2 linked regions of the Daphnia pulex genome follow. The protein of the gene in region 1 purifies or fractionates together with the protein of each later gene. This does not show direct contact. Links are inferred from orthologs where the notes say so. Each region holds a gene or a part of one and is shown in the gene's direction. Other genes may lie near its edges.

What was found. Proteins that work in one complex are often made in the same cells at the same time.
Region 2: the proteins of intraflagellar transport protein 88 homolog (region 1) and intraflagellar transport protein 46 homolog purify together in Homo sapiens (affinity purification with mass spectrometry; 3 studies listed by BioGRID and IntAct, with this or other methods). This does not show direct contact. The link is inferred for Daphnia pulex from reciprocal best matches to the Homo sapiens genes IFT88 and IFT46.

What each region holds. Positions count from the first base shown.
Region 1 is NC_060019.1:9,737,868-9,741,629, forward strand, and holds the start of intraflagellar transport protein 88 homolog, read left to right. Parts: upstream 1-1,100; 5' UTR 1,101-1,466; intron 1,467-1,550; 5' UTR 1,551-1,578; coding exon 1,579-1,725; intron 1,726-1,846; coding exon 1,847-2,028; intron 2,029-2,089; coding exon 2,090-2,282; intron 2,283-2,367; coding exon 2,368-2,585; intron 2,586-2,670; coding exon 2,671-2,780; intron 2,781-2,855; coding exon 2,856-2,974; intron 2,975-3,086; coding exon 3,087-3,244; intron 3,245-3,313; coding exon 3,314-3,500; intron 3,501-3,596; coding exon 3,597-3,762. UniProt on the Homo sapiens protein: Positively regulates primary cilium biogenesis. Also involved in autophagy since it is required for trafficking of ATG16L and the expansion of the autophagic compartment.
Region 2 is NC_060020.1:8,814,168-8,817,226, reverse strand, and holds the end of intraflagellar transport protein 46 homolog, read left to right. Parts: exon of another isoform or gene 1-434; intron 435-499; exon of another isoform or gene 500-1,102; intron 1,103-1,733; coding exon 1,734-1,888; 3' UTR 1,889-2,423; downstream 2,424-3,059. UniProt on the Homo sapiens protein: Forms part of a complex involved in intraflagellar transport (IFT), the bi-directional movement of particles required for the assembly, maintenance and functioning of primary cilia. May play a role in chondrocyte maturation and skeletogenesis.

The sequences.
Region 1 (3,762 bases):
GCAGCTCAACTTGAACTCCTTTTTCACCGGGTGGTTGCAATGAAACCATCTGCATGACAGCAATGAAGCTCAGACTTTGTTGTGATCTCAAATTATTTGATAGACAAGCAAATGGATCTCCCACCTGAACATAAACTAATAAAATATATTGCATTATAGCAGGGAAATTAATCAACAAATTTAAATTTACAGTGTACAAGAATGCAATTAGAACCAATAGCTAAATTATGTTGTAATTGTTATTAATTAAAAACAGTTAAACTTACCTCAAAATCCTAATCTAAATTTGTTTTGCTTTTTGGAAGTAGCTTAAGAGGTGTATTGTGTAACTTAGGAGCAGCGAAGTTTCCCAAGAGGATTCTATCTAGTAGGGCATTTAGCCCAGACCCAGACAAAGCTGTCGCATTCCTATGCTGCTCACTAATCATCAATGGCCATCGAACCTAATTAGAAGAAAGAAAGATTAATCACAGGTAAGGCTCAGTTCAGAATGACAGGACTAAAGCTAAAAGGGTGATACGTAGAGGTAGCTCGACGATATTTCGTCAACAATCTGGAATCACTAACAGTAACAGATGAGACACAAAAGCGAATGTCATGCTGCCTTCCTCTCATTGTAGAAGCAATGGGGGGATTTCGTCTGTTGTGATGTGCTGTGATGCTGCGGTGGTGAATTTTTCATTTTTGGGTGAAGACGAGATACAAATTGAAAGGGGAGAATATTATGTGAGTATCAAAGTCTTTGATTGTTAGTTATTCTTGCAATTGAGTGTCAACCAGGGTGTAGAGCGGACATTTTTTTCATGTTACTGTTAAACGTTTCTTTTTTGTGGCGCTAATAACATAACTTACAGATAATCTGTGATGATAGAGGTAATGGATAATAGATAATAAGATGATGGAGAATTCCTACAGCGTCGCTTCACCAATATCACCATAGTCTCTATCAGTCTATCACTCTGCCAAAGTGCCCCGATCACTCACTAAGCGGCGCCTTATTCGACTTACCCACCCACCCCCCGACTGCTCGTCGTTTTCTATCAGGGAAATAACAGCAACGTTGTATTTTAGAAAAACATTGTCTGCTAGGGCTAGGGCGGCTAGCTCACCTAGCTGACAAAGACAAACAGCAGTTGACTGTTGTCATTTAGCAATGGAATGTCGTTATTTTTTGGAGTTCATTTTCTTATCTGGATAAAAAATGAATGGAGGAATACAGCTGCAAGGCTGAAAAATTTTCCAAGATGCCCAATCCTTTTAGAATCATTACTACTAGTCTACTACTACCTCTGATAGGAATTCAGAAGCATAAGCGAGCATAAGTTGCACCGGTGGTTAAAATCATATCAACCTGTTTTCAACAATGGGTTAGGAGAAATTGTAACAAGTTTAATTACATTTCATAGCTGAGAATATTGCTAATATGGCTGTCATCATCAAAGAAGCTATTTCTGGCTGCAATTTGGGTACTGTCAGATTGTTCAACAATGGAATGAGTTACACAGTTGCTATGGTGATTGTTTGTTTTGACCTTACATATTACTACTTAGAAGTGATCATATCTTTCAGTGATATAATATGGATAAGTATAACATGGAAACGTATGATGAAGATGATCTTTATTCTGGATTCAATGAATTTCATCCTACACTGAACACATCTAGCCTCATTCAAGACTCCCTATCTAGAGATGTTAAAAACCAGCAGTCAATGCTACAGATGCAGGTAATGTTAACAAGACTATGTAAAATGTCTCAGCGGTTTTATTCATTTGTTTAGTGGTACATTAATAAGATTTCCAAATATCAATTTTCATTTATTTATCATCAATTGCACTTGATATTAGCAATCAAGAGTGGTTACAGCATCTCGTGGTGGGGTTCCAACTGCAGTTGCCAGACCAGTAACTGCAATTCGTGGAGCAGGATATACTTCATCAAGATTGGCAACAGCCAGTCAGGTCTACGATCCTTTGAATCAATCTGGCAGGGTTACAACACCATTTTCAGAACCTAAAGCTGTTGATCCGTATGTAGCTTTTGTTGTCAACCCAAACTTATTACACAAAATTCATTATAATCTTACACAGGCCAGAAAAGCAGATGAAAATGCTGGAAAGTAGCATACAACAAATTATAGAAGAATCAATTGTGGCTCACAGTAAAGAGGAATTTAGAGTGGCACTAGACAAGGCCAAAGAAGCGGTCAATAAAGAACGAAGTCTTATACGTCAAAAGGAGCAATCCGGCATGGGGGAATCGAATAGCGACCTCGCTTTCATGGTAATTACGATCTGCGCCTTGATTTGCTTTAAAAAATTTGCTATTCCATGTTTTTTACTAATACGAAGAATTTTCGAATAAACAGGTGCTGTTCAACCTAGCGAATCAGTACGTCGGTAACGGACTGTTTTCAGAAGCCATGTCGTCCTATCAGCAGCTAATTAAAAATCGTTCTTTCGCCAACATCGGTCGACTGCGACTCAATACCGCCAATTTACATTTTCGTCTGGGACAGTACGCGCTCTCACTCAAGCAGTATCGAATGGCTTTAGATCAAGTTCCGGCTCACTTTACAACATTAAGGTAGTGTAAATGGCTGTAATAACATTTTCATTATTTGTTTTAGAACTAATTCTCGATTACTCTTGCTAAACGAATTCCTTATTAGGACGAAAATAATGCAGAACATTGGCTTGCTGTTTATCAAAATGGGGCAGTACAACGACGCCTGTACGAGCTTCGAATTTGTTATGCAAGAAAAGCCCGACTTCAAAACTGGTAAGTCAATTTCAAATTGGTTTAAATTTATTGCTTTACCCTTTTTCCTGATGCCAAAACGTCAAACATTCAAAGGTTTACACATGGTGCTCAGCTACTACGCCTTGGCAGATCGGGAAAATATGCGCAAATCGTTCCTTCGCTTGCTGGACGTTCGTGCCGAGTCGGACGATTTTGATAAACTGGTGCCGGAGGTTAATAAGATGCTCTGCCTCATTCTCAATTTGAATAATCTCGTGTGCTCAGTTCTGTTGTTTTGTTTATTTTTCTTCTTCCCCCTCTCCTGGATAAATGATGTTTGCACAGGGTGACGCCCAGTGGAATTCGTTGCGTGAAGCGTTGAATAACGATTCGTTACACCGTTTGGAGCGTCAGGCCAAATTTGAAGGTGAAAGGTGCATATTGATGGCCGCCAAGTTAATCTCGCCTGTGATCGAAGATACTTTTAGTGTTGGCTACCAGTGGTAAGTTGTATAATTTATTCAAATCCGTCGTGGGGGGATGTTTGATAAATAACAATGATTTATGTCCAGGTGCGTCGAGGCCATCAAAGAGTCAACCCACAATCATCTGGCAGACGATTTGGAGATCAATAAAGCCGTACTCTTTCTACGCCAAAAGGACGTGGCCCTGGCTACCGAAACGCTGAGGAGCTTTGAAAAACGATCCAGCAGAATGGCTACCAACGCAGCTGTCAACCTGTCGACAATTTATTACCTAGTACGTTCAACGCCTACTGCATAAATTTACACAATCGTAAACTAATTCCGTTTTTTTCTTTTCTTTTTCTATTTTTTTACTAACGATATGATTCAGCAAGGTGACATAGCCAGCGCTGAAAAATACGCCGAAGTGGCTAGAGATTCGGATCCTTACAATGCGGCCGCCTTCGTCTGCTTAGGCAATTGTTCACTCCGCCGAGCGGATTACAATAAAGCTCGCGATTTTTTCCTTTTCGCTTTGGATAATGACGCTGCTTGTG
Region 2 (3,059 bases), on another chromosome or scaffold:
ATGTATCCCCGTAAAAAATACATAGTGCATTTTATTTTGGTTTGTAGCAAATAAAATAAAATAGAATCAAGTCTCGGCATAACTCAGTGTTCCTATAAGAACAAATGGCTGGAACAAAGGGTTCAGTGAGAGTTTTATGCTTTAGTTAAATGAAATAGAAACGTGAATCGAGATTACAGAGTATATCTTGACATCCTATTATAGACGAAATTATTCATTAGGGTTTGTGCATGAATAAGGGATCAGGTAAAAATAAATATAATTCTAATCAGTTTTTCACGCTGATTCTCAAAAGTATTTTTCTACTCTTAAAATTTGAATTTCAACACGTAATATCTCTTCAAAGTTGAGATAGGCTCCTCTTAGATTAAATCGGGTCCCCACCATGTTTGGTGGGCGGTCCTTGAAATCACTGTCCACCAAAATTTACTTTTCTAAATTTAAATATTGAATAATTTAGATTTAGACTAGCGTTTATTAACAGTATTGTTAAGCATACTTTCACATTGCTTTGTCATTTATATGCCAGACAGCTGCCTTTTCGTCAAAAGATTCTCCATCATCAGTGACAATCTCCCACGTTTTCGTCGTCAAGTCAAGAAGCCACTTTCACTAGAAGCCAGCACCAAGAAGCCACACTACCATACTGGCCAAGAAGCATCATGACGTATGAGGTGTGGCTTCTTGGTCCCCAGTCTCTGGCTTCTTGGAAAACACCGTTTTGCTTCTTTGGCAAATTGAATCCAAAAAGCCACAGTATAAGTCTTTGGTATGTGATGATGAACTTATCACAAGATTCAAGCACTAACACTTAATTTGCTCTAACACTTAACTAACATTAACACTTAGATTACCAAAGAACAACACAAACACTGAACATATATCTTGAGAAGGATACGTATATTTACCGATGCTGGGGAATACACTGCCGGGCAACTCTGGTTGGAAGAGACAGAGCGTGGGCTTTAATACACAGATGTGATTGCAACATCACTGTATACTTGAGGCGCAAATACAAATACAGTAGCACCATCACCAGGATGTGATTGTGCAAGAAGAGAAAGTGTTAGTTGGGTGGCGCAGTTACAATTGCACCATCCAACGCAATCGCACCATCAAGGCTAGCAGGGTCTGACTTGCTATAAGAACTGTCGGTTCCCGCCTTGCTACAGATAAAAAGAATTTTTTTTTCTAGAATTTAAGCCACACTGTGGTTCTATTACTAAAATAGTTTGCAATAATAGAATAATGGCAAATACTACACGGCTATAATAGTAAATCCTAGTCCATATGCCAGGAAGCTTTTTTTGTCAACTTTCTGCACAGTTTTCAGATAAAAAAAGTCTCTAATATGTTTCTAGAAATAAAAATTGTATGATAATATTTATTAAATTTTTGTTGATTTTTCTTTTACAATAACGAGCAGTTTTAAAAAAAGTCTTGTAAAATTAGTTACTTCAATAGCCTTTGATTTCAAATTTTTGCAGTGACATTATAGGATAAAAAAATGGGTAGCTGATGTGAATGTGCCTGTAAAATGTAAAAGGTAATTTTTAAAACCTTTTCCATAACAGTATCAAATAAGGAATCCCTACGATAGTTGTTAGCTTCCTGAAATGCATCAATAAGAAATTGTCGACTCCCTTGAATCCCAAAGAAATAATTTGAGGTTACCTTCTTTATGCCACCTTTATCCTTGGAATATTTATTCTACTTATTACCCAATACTTCAGGATTTGAACCATACCGCCCATACCTCAAAGTAAGGCAAAGCTTCCGGAGCTCGCCGAAAGGAGCAGCGCAGTCGAATTCGTCTTCTGAGGAGAAGGAGGGGGCTAAATGTCGACTGCTGGATTTTACACAGAGGAAGCCATCTCCTTATCTCTGAAACCTTTCCAAGAAAGATAATACACAACATGATTAATATAGCTTCTGTACGCCTAATTTTGTAAACGTCACTATCCATAATTGACAATTCCTTCACCAAACGATCCTTTAAATTGATTTCTTTGTTTTTGCCTCAAATCAAAAAAATAATTCAGCAACATTTTTTTGTTTAGATACGGTTGCGGTTTGTATTTACGAATTTGTAGTTCATTTGATCTGACAGAAAATGATTCGTCCATTAAATTTTGCATTGAGACAATCAAAGCTTCCAGTTTTTTTTTGTTTAAACGCAGGAATATCCGTTGAATAATTTGTCATCGCCGTTTTCCATAAGTTTTCCGAGAAGTTACTAGAACTTTTGCGGAAAAAGAAAACAATTCCGAGAATACATGGAGATTATGTATAGGGCTACGAGATGATTTAAAAATGTGATATAGACTACTACTGATATTATGTGTAAATTATACCACTCTGCCTTTTTCCCATTTCAGAAGTTTGAGCGTTGAACTTTAAGCGAGCGTTTATGCCATTGAATACACTGTTTACTTTCAATACCATTTCTTCAGTAAACCATCTCAAATAGCTCTTTAGCGTTATCAGCGTCCCTTCCGTTGAAATGCAACCCATCTTGTGTCCTCCCTTTGCATAATTCCTAATCTTGCTAACCCTAAACACTTTCAGTGGAATCCCTGTTGCATCCCTTGGTAGGCTTTTATTCCAGCGCAGCTAAATTTGGAGTTAATTCAATCCATATTTCCAAAGGAAAAATGTGTTAAAATTGATGCGAATAAAGAAAGACATAAATTTACTTGTCTTGAACGAACTTTCTCCTGTCATCACGTTGAAAATTAGTTCGAATGAAGGCGAGTAAATTTGTTTCAAGTATATTCGCATACTACACTGTCGTTAAGTTTTCTTCTAATCGACTTAGCCTTGTCTAGCCACCAGGCAACATGCCTCCCCAAACGGATACGGATGTTAGGTCACTTCTCTTGATATTCAATATATTTATTATTTTATAGAATCTTTCTTAAGCCGATGGACTCGAACACGACCGCGAGATAACGACGACCAATTATTTTCGTCAGTAAAAAAAACTTGCCTCTAAAATTCAACGTGGTGGATGATTGACATACCTTCGTACAAATGCTAGTTTTCCTACTCGGTGTTCG